Neurospora crassa OR74A: one gene and its partner. The protein of the gene in region 1 interacts with the protein of each later gene in a pairwise test. Links are inferred from orthologs where the notes say so. Each region holds a gene or a part of one and is shown on either strand. Other genes may lie near its edges.

Region 1 (7,450 bases):
CCAAAGCTGCTTACACTACTGGTGTATTCCTAGAACCATCATCCATCCCTTCCACACCCAACGTACGTCAGCCCTGAAATGATAAACATGTGAAGTCTAAGGCTGAACTACCCTACGTACATCACCATCATCACCATCATGCGTGGACCTTCACCCCGAGCTTTGTGACCAACGTACGTACGTATTAATAAGATTTCCAATGGACGGGTAACTAGACTAAGCTTTTCGACCCTTGTGTATGTATATCCCCGCCCCGCTGCTTATCACGGTTGGCCGCGTACGTCGAACGACCCAAACAACACCAAAACTCCCCGATCCAACATCCCCAAAGCGAAACGACAAAACAAAAAGCGGTATGACGACGGCAGTGCTTCCCAATACAACCCGAAAATTCTGGTAGCCTACTTACTTACGTTGCTTAACTTAACTGACAACTATTACTGCGTAAACAAACGTAATCCATCAACGTAGCCTGCTAGGTAGTCTTCGTACCTACCTGCCGCTGTCAGCACGGCTAGAGGTAGGTAAGCTTTTTCGTTCGGCAATCCACTGCCGACCAAGTCTTTCTTTTCCCAAACTTACCTACTGCGTACACACGCGGCTACTTTTTGTGCCTTTGTGTAACGACACATATATATATATATATATTTTTTTTTTTTTTCTCCTTGGGTGGCGTTTCGAAAAAAAATGTAACTTTCCCCCCCCTAGAAAAAGGTTCCCAATTGCACATGCACATGATGAATCATAGTGAATTATAATGGATGGCGCAGCCACACACGACTAGACTACCTAGTTAGCCTTACTTTGATAGTATACTTGGTAGACGTTATTGAGTTACGCTGAGCATTTGGCTGTCATTTTCAATATGCATAGGTACCTAGCCATTGACAAATACTCGACTAGAAAAAATTTGGTTTCGGTGCTGTGACTCATTACTAAGGCATGATGGCCTTTGCTTTGCTTCACTTTTCATTGTTTTTGGTAGTAGTAGTAATTGGGCTGAGTTGTTTGACAGGGTTTCCCACGTGGTTTACATATGCAAGAGCATGGGTGGGTTCTTACTATTCCATCTGTTGTTGTCGTGGTTGTAGGGACAAGGAATGCGTAGCCTAATGCCCTTGATTTTTCTTCTTCTTTGGTTACTGTGGAGATGAGGGTAGGAGGTAGTACACGTATGTGTATACGCACACCTGGTAAGCACTTACATCAAGGGATGGATGGATACTGAGATACGTTGATACCGATGGTAGATGGGGGAGAAAGGCGGAGTGGCTTTGCTTTGTTCGACGAAATCGGCCTTACCCTTCTCACCTCACCGAAATTAGTGTAGGTACCTATTGTTGTGGTTCAGATGGGTAAGGGGAGATGAGGAGGAGGAGGAGGAGGAGGAGGAGGAGGAGGAAGAAAGCAGAGTTATCAGAGATGTATAAGAGGAGTTGATGGCCTCGCTTTTCAGGATGTTGTGTTTTTGTTCATCATCAACATCAACAGCTTCAGACTTCGTTCAGATCTCAAGTACTACCTACCTACCTAGGTACCTTCCTCGAGAACACAAGAACCACACCACACCACCAACCAACCAACTTGAAGCTTCACTTACACGGACAACTTGAACACCACCAACACCATCTAAAGACATCCTCATCAAGACTCTTCGACCAACCATCACCACCACCACCACCCAAAGACCAACAGACACCAAAAAACAAAATCATGTCCGCCTCAACAAACTTTAACTTCCCCTCCCACCCCACCTCCCGCTCTCACGCCCTCCAAATCGTCCAAGGCACTCGCGCCCTGGAACAATCTCCACCTCTCGCCTCTTCCCACCAGTCTTCCTCAAAGTCCTCACCCAAGAAGAAGAACCACCACTACGCCGAATCCACCACCTCAACATCCAGTTTCTCCAGCCGAACCAGTCTCCTCAAGGACAAATTCCACTCCACTTTTGGATCTTCTTCTTCTTCGTCACCGTCTTCGTCTTCAGACAGCAGCAAGAGCAAGAGCAACAGCAAGTCCGTGAGTAGTAGTCCCATGAACAGCACCAGACAACAAGGGCTGTTCCTACTTGGTTCATCAATAAGGATGGGGCACTGATTCTTTTTTTCAATGTGGGGGGTTGTTGTGGGTGGTAGTATTAGGAAGACTTGAGATGATTTCGAGACGAGCAGCGGCATGGGGAAGTGGCAAGCGGTTTGGCTTGATTACCCTATGGGCAGGTCAGATCGTTCAAAGTATCGATAGCGAGTATGGACAATGAAAGGGGTCCCTCCCTCCCCGGCACGAGGGGTGGTGGGGCGGCACGAGGGATGGGATAAAAAAGGATGATGGGTACGCATAAGGGCATGGTCAGGAAAACGGAAAAAAGAAGGGGAGTAGTTAAGAGGAGGCGTTTCTTATGTCTACCTCTACCACCTGGGAACTGGATGGATGGAACGTATTGTAGTGTACCTGTTATACCCGGGATAGAAAGAGGAGGACAGCGTACCAAAGAAAGGGCAGCAAATGGGTGAAATAAACTGCCAGCGCAATTCAATTCAGCAGAAGTCATAGGTTGAATTGAAAATCCGATTGAACTTGAACTTATCAATCCCAGAAACCAATCGCGGCAAACGCCTCCCCCATAACCTTTTGTTGACGGATGAAGATAGTAAAACATCAAATATCAGATACAAGGCCACACAGCTCCAAACGTACCTCTCTTCCTATTAAGCCTATCTCCTTCATATCCTAACCTCCTGCCCCTAGAACATCATCATCATCGTAGCCGGATCAGCAGGCTTCGCATCCCCACCACCCGGGGCAGCTCCCTTCGGACCATCCTTCAACGCCGGGCTTCCATGCGCAAAGAAGAGCACCTTGATGGCCAGGGCCAAACCAAAGTGCAGCGCCACCACGACAAACAGCAGCACCTTGCTCGTCTGGCGATCCGTCGCGCTGAGCACCGGATACAGGTTCCTGAGCAAAAAGGCCACCGACACGCCGAACCCCACGCCCACAAACACCCAGTTGAGGATGGTAATCGGCGACCAGCTGATCAGCGCCACAGGGATCCAGATGAGGTTGGAGTAACCGTACAAAGCCCAGCACTCGAGCAGGTTGGCGGATTCCGAACCAAAGTATCGCAGGGCAAGGTACAAAGCGACCGGCAGGACAAAGGTGTAGCCGTAGATGAGACCAGCGGCGCCTGTTGTTGTTTTTTTTGATCACATATCAGCCCCCAATTTTACTAAAATCAATCACCCATTCACCCAAAGGGAAAAAGAAAAAACAAAAAACTTACCGCTCAACAACCGAAAATCATACGCAAACGCCTCCTTCCCCGTCTGCGCCAAATAATCACTAATCGTCCCGCCCAAGAACAAAATCAGCACCACCGTCGTCGCGATCCAAAACGGCCCGTACAGGTCCGGATTTCCCTCCAACACATCCAAAAAGTTGGCTCGCGGGTACAGGGCCGCCCAACACCGCTGCAGCACGCTGGACGTGTCCACGTCAAAGAACTGCGCGTAAAAGGAGAGCGTCCAGAGGAAGCGCTTGCTGCTTCCTCCTCCCGAGTTGGAGGAGGTGCGGGCGGCGGTTACGGGAGCGGGAAGTAACCCGCCGCCGAGGGAGGAAGTGGAAGTGGTGTTGGTGTGTTGGGTGGATTTGGTGCCGTTGCGCCCGAGGGGGGAGGATTCGGAAAAGTTGGATTGGTGGAATTCGAGATCTTCTTGGAGGTCGGTGTGGCCTAGGTCGCCCTGGAGAGAGAAGGAGAAAAAAGGGTGGTTAGTTGGGTATGTAAAGATCAATGACTACCATGGGAGCGGATGGGAGGGGAGGAGAGGGCGAACTAACCTCGTCGTCGACGTCTACGACTGCATCGTAGCCTGATCTGGACATGGTGGCGGTTGTTTGCTGTCTGTTGGTCGGATGTGAGCTGTGATGACAAGTCTTTCGATGGTGATTTGGTTGGAGCTTGGGAACACGCCGATAGCTGTGAATCGCCTTGGAGTCAAATGGTATGATTAGTTTATGCTTAGTGTAAGTCGGTCTCTCGATAGGTAAGCTCCTCCAAAGCTACTTAGGTGGTCTGGTCCCTCCGGAAGCTGGTGGTGGACAGCTGTTTCAACGTGAGCCGCGTACACCAAAGGGTAGAGGTAGGTAGGTAGAGGTACGTACCGCTGTACACTTGCGTGCACGCCCCCTGTTGGGGTCCTGAAACCGCAGCAGTGCACCCCCCCTTAACGGATTCCCGGTCCCTGCAGTAACTCCCCGCAATATGTCACGTGGGTCCAAAGTGGCCATCAAGGTAGTTGAGCTGTTTCGAGCGACATTCATAATCAAGCTCAAATTATTCTACAAGATCACTGCTTTTGGTAGGAGAGCTTCAATGCCCTTTTGTGTATCCCCACGGGCAATGTCCGAGTTTATTCATGAGCTACGTAGAAGTCCTCGACTTGACGTTTTCAGCCGTAGCCATCCATTCCCAGGTCCCGTGTTTCCCTGTCCTGTTGTCCTTATGCCGTTGCCATAACCATACCCGTTTGCCCCCAAAAAGCCCAAATGCGCCAAACCCTGATGCTGGTACGTAACACTGAGCTGTCTATTTGAGCTTCTTCTTGGGGCGGAGCTGGTTGGTGTGTCCGCACTTGCGCTTACGGCAGTTGGTGGCACGGGGAGGCAGACGAGCCTAGAAACAAGTTAGACCTTGGTTCAACATTTGAGAAGGCGAAAAGATGATATAGAGTATACGTACGTAGCACTTGCGGCAAATCATCTTGTCGCAGTTGAACTTGGAGGCAAGCGCCTTGAGCGAGGGCTCGATGATACCACCGCGCAGACGGAGGACCAAGTGGAGGGTTGACTCCTATAGCAGAAATCCATGTTAGCAAGTCGACCATGACACCAATCAATTGAATCCCATTTCTGTTCCCATGGCCATCGCAAAAATGGAAGTTGACCACAGCAGTTGTCCTCCCATTCCCAACCCCTATAACATCTACGTCATAAGCGCGCTGTGGGGCCACCAGTCCACTGACCTTCTGGATGTTGTAGTCGGAGAGGGTGCGGCCATCCTCGAGCTGCTTGCCAGCAAAAATCAGGCGCTGCTGGTCGGGCGGGATACCCTCCTTGTCCTGAATCTTCTGCTTGACATTGTCAATCGTGTCGGAGGACTCAACCTCGAGCGTGATGGTCTTGCCCGTGAGGGTCTTGACGAAGCTATACACCAGGGGTACAACGTCCCGTTTGTTAGTGACCTGACTCAACTCCGCTTGATTGCTTCGTGCTGCGGAACGTCGTGAAAACTCACATTTGCACTGCGGTTCAGGTCAGATTAGCATCTCGACGAATTGAGGATTTGGTCTAAAGCAGTGTAATTAACTTACTCTTGACCGGTTATTCCTAGGTGTGGTCAGTTGGAGGTGCAGTGGTGAAGGAGGGAGTGATGTGATGATGTCGGGGAACAGCAACAGGACGAAGCTATGATGGTGGGGTTATGGGAACGGCCGCTCTGGGCAAAGTGGTGCGTGCACATGTCACAGTGTTCATCAGCTTCATATCTGCACTGTACCTCCATCTTCAACACCAGAAGGTCGCCTCCACCAACGATTGCTAAGTAGTTTCCTCAACCGCACCCGATTTGTGCTCTTCTTCTAATGCTCAATATGGATATCTTCTGTCACAGTATCGGTCTCATACTGGTTTGATCCCGAGAAACAGCTCAGGCAAGTATTCAAAGCAAGTCATACCTCCCCCAACCTCATCTTCCTCTTCTCCCTCTTCTCCCAACCATACAACAGTTCCTCCAGACTATAAACCGCCTTCACCAAAGCCTTCAGTGACAGCCCCGAGATCTCCGCTGCTTTCTCATGGAACCTTCTCGCAGGTCCAGATTCTCCAAGTTGCTCAACCGACCTAAACCGCTGATGAAGTGCACCCAGCCTCTTGATATTCTTCCCATCATTAGTCTCAGGCCTCGGTTCAACCAGCGTCATCGACTTTTGCACTCGATGCATCCGAGCAATGAGCTGCTCATCGGTCATGTCTTTGCTGCCGGGTTCCGGTAATCGCAGGACGTTCTCGAGAGGGAAGAGACGTTCGATTTCGGTTTCGTCTGTTTTCAAGTGTCTGTCAGTAAATCGTTTGCATTCTGACGGACACCCTGAGAGGGAAAGGAGGAGAAGGAGAAAGACATACCAGCAGCGCTCCATGATTTCAGCTGCGTCTCCTGATACCAATCCAAATACTCCACCATCTGCTCCTTACTCAAAGTCCAAACCTTCTCCGCATCCATGGTCGCAAAGTCGAGCCTCCTCAGCGGCTTCTCGGGCGGATCTGCGAACTCAGCCTCCCAAGCATCCCAGTCCATCTTCAACGTTAATGGGTCGTTGTTGTCTCGTGGATACCGCTTGACGCCGTCCATGGGGTACATGTACTTGGTTGCTAGCACTAGAGAGGCGACTAGTAGCACGTCTGGGATGTCGAGGAGGGTGTAGCGAGAGGTCTTGCCGGTGAAGGAAGACGCGTCGTCTTTAATGTTTTGGCGCGTTGGGAAGGTCCAGGAGAGGTTGAGCATGAGGCAAATTTGTCGGGCGTGGAGGTGTACCTCGGCTGGTATGATGATGATGATTAGAGTGTGTGACTTTAGAGGAAGAGGGGCGGCAGAACTTACGTGGTAGAGCCAGATCTTTGAGGTATAAGATGAGGAGTGACGGTGCTGGGAGTGGTGGTGATACCATGCCATAGTTCTTCTTAAAACCTAGGGTCAAGGTCAACAACGACTTGTGAAGCTCGCTTCCGTCAAACTTTGCCCATCGTGTTAATAGCGTGCGCTGAGCCCAGCCAGGTAAACGTTCTCGTAGTTCGTTCGGCACCAGTTCAAGCTGAGTAGCAAGAAGAATGTCAGTAAGCGAACCTTCTTGTGAGTACAAAACTACACACCAACTTACCGCACCAAGAAACGGCAACTGGTTGTTCTTCGCCCACCGATAAATATCCCCTACCCTCACCGGCTCCTGCTTGAGCAGACACCCCATATAAATCAGCGCCAGCACTTCCATCGGGCCAGGCAGATCCCACAGCTCGCTCTCCCAATCCTTCACCCTGCTTGACCTCCTCCTCTGGCTCTTCACACTCTCATCAGCCGACGTATCCGTCGTTTCCGCCTGCGAGCTGTACATGACCATCTCGCTATCGGAACCCGACTGAGAGAGCGCACCACCACCACCGCCACCATATTGCGACCCCGTTCCATCGTGATCAATCCCCTTTCCTTTCGCCTGGAGTGATGATGCCCTGGAAACGCTTTTGAGACCAATGAACTTGCGGATGCGTAGGTCCCAGAGATCGCGGCAGATAGACTCGAGCTCGTCCGAGAACCCTTTTTCGCGGATCAGCCAGAGGATTTGTTTGCGCAAGATGATCTGCAAGCAGTCGAGGTAGAGTTCCTTGGCGTCGTTGCCTGAGA
Region 2 (7,602 bases), on another chromosome or scaffold:
AGACCTCGAAAGGTCTCGCCGCGCGCGCACATGGTCAAGCAGACTAGTCAAAAGAAGAAGAGAGCACGGTCAGAATCGCCCGAGCTAGTACACCCAAGAGAGACCCATAGCCCAAATGCTCTTCGGTTTGAAAAGAAATCCCGACACAACACGAGGCTTGACAAATACGAATACAGGCCAGAGGTAGATCGTCACAAGAGACGGACCCAGACTACAGAACATCGCCGGGAGGACAGTCACGGGTCTTTGGAGGATGTTAAAAGACATACCCGAAGTAAATATCAACATGCGGTGGGTAACTGTCACTAACGTCATTAATAGCAATTTGCTAATGTAGTTCAAATTACAGCAACGAATGAACGAGCATGCCCAACGAACCGACCACGGTACTGCCCGTCGCCAGAGCTCCAAAGCCAGGGAGGTCGAAACTATATCAAGACGCCCTGATCATAGATCAAGAGCGGTGGAGCCAGGACGAAGAAGCCGAAGACAGCAGGCGGAAGCTAAGGAAATGAAAGAGCTGTCTGCATTCTTTACGGGGAGAGCTGACGGTGAAAAAGCGGAAGCTGAGAAAATACACTACCGACCTCATCGAGAACAACGATACGACACTGCTACTGCTAGACATCCGGCTTCAGATATCCGCCAGCAACGAACACATGATTCACCCAGCCCTTCGCTTCTTCCAAGTAGAAGCACTGGCTCTACCAGACAGCCTTCGCCTGCTTCTCTCCGGCCAGACTCTCTTTTCTCTTCGCGTGGTGATGATTCAATACTTGTCCTACCAAATCGTCCGAGTAGCAGATCAACTACATATTTCACATGGTCAACAAGTGACAGGGATCCGGCGCCAGTGTCCAACGTTTCCATTTCAGAGAAACCCCGGAAGAGCATTCAAAGTTCTGCTCGGAAGCTTGTCCTGCAGGAGCGGGAAATAAAGGGCCCACATGTGGTTTCGGAGGATTTCAAGATTAGACCAGCTTCGAGAGCAAAGCGTCATCCACGGAAATCGATAGTGTACCAGGATGCTCAAGTCCAGACATCGTTTGATGCAGATCGGAATCAAAATCGCCAATACCCAAAAAATTCTATACCCCAGTATCAAGATTCCGCAGTCATGACAGCAGACGAAAACAGTAACCTCAAACAACGTGTCTCCATGCTGCCTGCAGAAGCATTGCCAACTATGGACAAGAGAACTGTATATGAGCAGCCCTCATCCAATACAACAGCAACAACGCTACTAGATGTACCACCGCAGCCACAGTTCCAACCTCAACCACAAGCCTGGGTTACCTCTAATGCCAGGGATAGACTCTTTTCTCAGCCGTTTGTAGCAGCGCGTAACTTGTTTGCCCAAGAAGGCTGGCAAACATATCAGGAGCCTTCTCCTAAGCAAGCATCCGGTCGCTATACGAAACTCGTTCCGCCTGAAAGAGTTCGGGCTGTAATGCCTTCTCACCAACCAACCTCTTTGCGCCCTGCAGTTGATCAAATTTCAAGGTCTATTTCATGTCCTCCAGCTCAGCTTTTGTATGCTCATACGCAGGATCCGCCTCGTGAAAGTATGGAAGATTACATCCGCAGAATCGAGCAAGAAGCTCTGCAGAGTTCCACCAACAACGAAGAAATGGATGGATCACAGCCCCATGGTCCAGACCTGACTGAAGGTATAGGGCGGCAGCAGCTCGGCCATGGTTTATATCCCGAAGGCAATGATACATTTCTTCGGGACACTGCGTGGTACAATCAGCATCAACTTCCAACAGACACAGCACATATCCAGGTACAGGATCCCGAATATTTCGACCTAGAGCATTACGGGCAGGGCATAGGGGGTCAAGATACCCGGTTACCGAGACTGTGGGAAGATCCTCGCGAGTTCTGAGATGTGACCTGATCCAGCAGAGAAGCCATCACTCCGGCTTTTGATCTTTCCACTTTGCTTTAATGTTTTCGATATCCATTCCACATTTTGCGGCTTTGGCGACTACCGCCCGAGCCTTTCCAACCACAGGAGCATCAATCATCTTTCCGTCCAAGGTCCAAGCACCTCGACCAGCTGCAGAGGCCTGAGCATCGGCAACGAGGATACGAACGTACCACTCAACCTCGGCCTCTGCTGGAGCAAACATTCGCTGAGTCACTTCGACCTGACTGGGGTGGATACACTCTGTTTGAATGCCAAGTATTAGTGAAGAGCACAGTTCCCATAAGAAAGGCACCGTCGGTACAAGGAATGGAAATTCAGGAATAGGTAACTCACGCTTTCCGTTGAAGCCCATCTCCTTGCCGTTTTGACACTCCTCCTCTAGCTGCTTTACCCCCTCTGGACCCTTGTATGAGGTACAAACAAGGTCAATGGAGCTAGGGAGATCGAATGCTCTGGCAGCAGTTACAATAGCACTTCTGGCGTACAAAAACTCGGCCAAACCTGGCGTTCGCGTAATAGACAGGTCCAACGCAAAATCCTCAGCAGCAAAGATCAGACCACTCAGATACGGTGACGCAGCACATATCGAGCGCAAATCCATGACTGCTCGGGCCGATTCAATCAAGGCAAGTAGCTTGAGAGGGCTTGCCGTGGGGTTAGAAGAATGTCGCTGTGGTGCAGCATGGCGAATGACATCTGTAACGAAGGACAGATCACTAGCACTGTTGACCTTTGGGATGACAATGGCGTCAAGGTTTGGGGCGCTTGCGAGAGTGGTCAGATCATCAAGCGCATAGGGCGTCGAGACAGCATTGATGCGTACAGCAAGCTCTCCAATGGAGGCCGGCTTGTCCGAAAGTGAGGACAGGTGGTCGCGCAATTGTGTGCGAGCGGTCTGCTTGTTTGCTGGAGTCACCGAGTCCTCAAGGTCATAGGTGATATTATCACTAGCCAAGGAGAGTGACTTGGTCATGAACTTCTGAGAAGACGCAGGAACTGGGTCATGCTGAGTTAGCAACTATTGCAGCCATATGACAGGAGGGTTATATCTTGGATAGACCGCACCATATAGGAGCGCCCGACGGAGGACGGAAGAGGTAGCCATGATGTTCAGTTTCAAGTCAACAGGTGGGCTCTGCGGTATGTCTGGATGTTGACGGGATGGAAACTATCTGGGCTCACAAGTATGACCGACCCAGCCACTCATCCACTGCATACACTGCTAACAAAGGCCCGAGAGCATCCTAAACCACTCAGTGACTACTGTCTGTAAATCGGGAAGAGGGGAGAAAGTCAACAGAAGGATGTTGCTGAGCTCAATGGGGAATCGAATGGCATGTGACGTAGCACCAGCGCGGAGCTGTAGCTTCGGGCCGCTGTCGGCTGGGGCGCTATGTCCACTAGATTTTACTGTCCTCCGACCTCCGTTCTCTGGCTCAATATGCATGGTAACTTTGTCCCCGGAGAACCTCATTTTTAAGCAACAATAGGATAAGAAACCGGGAAGCACGGGGATTGCTTTGACGCAAAAAGACATTGAGTTCCATATCGAAGTAAAGCCTGGTTATTTCAGTTCGTAGGGAGGCTTTGTACGGAAGACCAGCATGGTGTTCATGCCCAAGGGGAAACGTGGTTGTAGGTAACGATAGTGCATTAACAGCAATGCTGAGTTGTGTGGGGAAAAGGTACCTCCCAGGTCCTGCCAATTACCTGCAAAAACTGGGTATTTCGATACCTTGAAGTCCTCCCCACCGGATATTCAGCCGTTAATACACCCTAGCTTGTGTTCGAGACGGTCTGTCAGCGCGGAGCTTAGGTGTTCTGACCTGCGCAGTTGCGCATCGTGCAAACGGCTTGGCTTCACCTCTCTCCAACTTCACGACGACACCATTGTGACAAAGTACCTTCGAACCCGGTAACAGGTCACCTTCTGATCCTGATGATGGAAGCAACACCGACGCCCGGCTCTTTGAGCTGGCGCTTGAGCTCGCATCCTATTACGCTCCTGACATTCCTCGCTTTTCGATCATGTAGGTGCTCGCAGTCCCTCTTCCTAGCTCCCTTTGTCAGTGTCTCGAGGATTGGATGTAGCCCATTACGGCCATGATGGGGAGGAGAATGCATTCCGGCAGGATGATGGGTAGAAGGTCACGAAGAGAAGACGGGGGAGGATGGAGCACCCGATACCTGCTACCAAGACACGCTTGCTAAAACCCGATCGCGAACTACAGCCAGTCTCCTTGTCTACCTTTTTGGCCTCTTATTTACCGACAACCTGTAAGGCGACCCCGTCAGCCCCCTTAAACCACACCATATCAGATGCTCGACTTGCCCACTTGCTCGTCTATACAGTCGCAAGCGAACGCGAACCCGAGAGTGTTCCCAGCCTTCCACAGCTTTCATCCATCAGAAGAAATCAAGGGATTAGATTGCTAACCACCCCCCCAACCGACCGGCAGTGTCATGATCTTCATCATAACCATCCTTCTCCTCGCCGGCGACTTTTACTACCTCAAGAACATTGCTGGCCGCCGACTCGTGGGCCTGCGTTGGTGGAACGAGGTCGATCCTAACTCGGGCGACTCGCACTGGGTGTTTGAAAGCAGCGAGCCGGGGACCAAGATCATCAACGCGACCGACAGCCGCTTCTTTTGGCTGGCAATCTATGCGCAGCCGCTGCTGTGGGTTGTGCTGGCTATTGTGGCCTTGTTCAGTTTGAAGTTTATTTGGTTGCCTCTTGTTGGTATGTGCCCCTTTCCCCTCTATCCATCGTACTAGCGCTTGCCAGTTCCCTTGGCTTGCTTGTTGTGCTGCGTGGTTTTTGGGTTGTCAAAAAAGGCATTATATGCTAATCGGAGGTTAATGGGCGTGTTGTATAGCTATTGCGTTGGTTCTTACCATCACCAACTCGCTTGCCTTCTCCAGGTGCGACAAGTTCAGCCAGGCTTCCAACATTGCTGGAACCGCGTTCAGCTCGGGCAACATCGCTGGTAACATTGCGAGCAACATGGTTGGCAGGTTCTTCTCGAGGTAGAGAGCAAGCAGGACGAGATTCCCCGAGGTCAGGGAAAAAGTTGTGGCTTTGGATTAGTATCCGAAGGGACTGTTCTCGTCAGATATCGATAGAGAATTCAGCCCCGAAGATACTTGATGGCCATCTTAGGATTCTCATGTTTTCATGATGTGCATTATGGGTCGGGCTCGAAATTGGTGACAGTATAAGGAACTTTTGCACGACAAATTGCCGATGGTTACCTTCTAGATTCATTGCCAGCAAAAATAGTATCTGAGCAAGACAAGATGTGTGAATTTCAGGGTCCGTTATATGGTGTCCGGCTCAAGTACTAGTAGTCCATGATTTTCTTGTTTCATGCGGATCCTTCGGACATGACATAGGCCATGGCTCTGAGACCACCATTCGGTACGTTCACTCCGTTTCCTCGATGCATTCACATTCTCTGAATCGCTCCATAACTGTTCGCAGAATAAAACAGAAAATGGAAATAGAGTTGCTGATCAAAGATTTTTCGATTTATAACCATCAGATATTGTAGCATCGCCCCTACTGATACGGACATACGTAACTTCCCAAAGATCAACAATGAAAAAGGAAATACTCATATCATCACCCTCTTCCTTAACTACTTTGCTCGGTTATCTTCACTTTCCAAAGCATTCGTCATAGGTGCCTGGAGCCCCTCTGCCCTCCCGCGTGCTGTTCAATGGCCACATCAAGCTGTCGCTCTTCCTCCTCCAACCTCCTGATTTCCTCCTCTGTCATGCCTTCCTCGACCAAATGAGCATACGGCGTTGACAAGCTCCTACCCTGTTGCTGCTGCTGGCTGATCAGACTACCCCGGTTGCTATCAGTGCCTGCTCCCCCATGTGTGAACGATGGTGCGCCGCCACCGCCGCTGTGCAGAGTGGTAGGCGACCCTCCTCCTTCTCCCCCTCCGGACTGATGATCAGAGTACATGGTAAAAGACCTTCCAGACTGATGATCGTGCGGTGTCTGCTGCTGCTGCTGCTGCTGCTGCTGCATCATGTGGTAGGACGGGGCGTTCGAAGCCGGGCTGTCTCCATCTCCTTCTAGTCTCCCATCTGCTCCGGGAAGAACCACCTGAGGGGGAACGCCAGAATCAATGTTAGGAACAACGACACTACCGCTATTCCTGTTGGCACCGGCGTCACCCATTCGCACGAGGTTGTCAGAGTAAGGCGAGTGAGGCGCGCTCGTCACGTCGTGGATGACGCCCGCGTTGGCTTCCTTCTCGGCTATGAGCTCGTCACCGCCGTTCCGACCGCCGCCGCTGGCGAAGCCCCCGTAAGGCCCACCGCGACTGGTGCCGTCTCGAAGGGCGTTTTGCTTGTGGCGCCGCCGGAGGCAGAAAAAGACGATGCCGCTGATGAGAGCGAGGCCGAGGAGGCCGCAGGCTATGGCGATTCCAACGATGGCGCCAATGGAGATACCTTTCTTGCTCTTGAGGTTGGAAGGCTCTCCGGTGCCGCTGCTGACTAGGCCGCCGCCGTTGGTCGGGGTGGCCAAGGTTGCCCCTGGAGTGGGAGAAGGTGATTCGGTTGGCTTTCCGACTCCAGCTGACTGGCCGCCCCCATCGGAGTCGTCCCTGATCGGATGTTCTTCCGGAAAGACCGGGTCAGGGTTGTTGAGCAAAGGATTTAAACCATAACCCTCAAGTATGGTATGGTCTGGCGCAATGTTCCCGATTGTTGTGAAGAGCCGGCTGTAGCTCCTGCCCGTTTTGCCGCCGTTCTTCCAGACAACATCAAAGTACAGCAGCTTCAGCGGGGCTGGCTGGGCTGGCTGGGCTGAGGTATTGTTGAGGTTGAGGATAGTCCAGATATTGTCAATTGTCACCGAGCCTCCTGTAGCATTTGTCTCAACTGTTGGCTCGTTGCCTTCAGTTAGCACGAACGTTCCAGTCATCACGTCACGCCACGGCGAAGAGAGGTTAGGCTTTTAGACAATTTGTGATGCACTTCCTGTTGACTTACCGGTGAGGTTGATGGGATACGACGTAGATGTTGGCAAGGTGATGATATCGCCCTGAGGCGCCATACCTAAGGTTAGATCTGGCCAGCTCCCAATTTTCTGCGAGGTTTTTGCAAGGCTTTGAAGCGAGGCAGGCTCGACTATCGTAGTGTTGCTGTAAAGGTTGACGGTGTTGACAGTGGTACCGCTCGTGTTTGTGATATTCCATCTGAACGTAGTCGCCTCCCAGATTACGGCCGGCTTGCCTGGTATTTCTTTTGTCCCCTGGGTAAATCCGTCACTGTCGCTGAACATAACGATGTCCGTATGAGAATTAAGTGAGGCTGCGCAACCTGCCAATGGCAGACCGGCTAGCAGCCAGCTCCTTTGCGTGGCTATTCGCATGATGAATCGACTCCCGCTTTCCTAGGCCTCCCCCTGTATCCGGCCGTCGACTTCCGAAATGTGTCGTGTAGATTCTCACTTCCTCAAGCAAAATGCCTTGTAGTTCTAGATATACGCATCTCCTCTTATAATCGGCTTCGTTTTCGTTGGTGCCGGTTCGAATCCAGAGCAGATGTGCTGACACCGGTAAGGGACCAGCTGCTAAGAGTGTGCCAGATGAACAAAGGTGTGAGAAAATGGACAACCCAAATGGAACCGGGCACGATGAAATGCG

The links. The genes of interacting proteins can lie anywhere in the genome.
Region 2: the proteins of NCU05276 (region 1) and NCU02733 interact in a two-hybrid assay, tested with the Saccharomyces cerevisiae proteins (2 studies listed by BioGRID). The link is inferred for Neurospora crassa OR74A from reciprocal best matches to the Saccharomyces cerevisiae genes YIP5 and TVP23.

What each region holds. Positions count from the first base shown.
Region 1 is NC_026504.1:5,493,599-5,501,048, forward strand, and holds NCU05276 (Yip1 domain family), read right to left. Parts: upstream 4,147-7,450; 5' UTR 3,883-4,146; coding exon 3,838-3,882; intron 3,741-3,837; coding exon 3,284-3,740; intron 3,188-3,283; coding exon 2,745-3,187; 3' UTR 2,515-2,744; downstream 1-2,514. Other genes in the region: NCU05277 (hypothetical protein), read left to right, coding at 1,714-2,019, 2,153-2,260; NCU05275 (ubiquitin-60S ribosomal protein L40 fusion protein), read right to left, coding at 4,586-4,672, 4,739-4,849, 5,022-5,202, 5,294-5,300, 5,370-5,370; NCU16890 (hypothetical protein), read right to left, coding at 5,727-6,097, 6,181-6,594, 6,656-6,866, 6,933-7,450. UniProt on the Saccharomyces cerevisiae protein: Possible role in vesicle-mediated transport. May be involved in proper membrane localization of Rab GTPases.
Region 2 is NC_026501.1:3,358,576-3,366,177, reverse strand, and holds NCU02733 (golgi apparatus membrane protein tvp-23), read left to right. Parts: upstream 1-3,711; 5' UTR 3,712-3,872; coding exon 3,873-3,963; intron 3,964-4,164; coding exon 4,165-4,210; exon of another isoform or gene 4,211-4,392; coding exon 4,393-4,676; intron 4,677-4,812; coding exon 4,813-4,967; 3' UTR 4,968-5,264; downstream 5,265-7,602. Other genes in the region: NCU02735 (hypothetical protein), read left to right, coding at 177-242, 350-778, 841-975; NCU02734 (citrate lyase beta subunit), read right to left, coding at 1,917-2,173, 2,267-2,929, 2,999-3,038; NCU02732 (hypothetical protein), read right to left, coding at 5,613-6,835, 6,947-7,328. UniProt on the Saccharomyces cerevisiae protein: Golgi membrane protein involved in vesicular trafficking.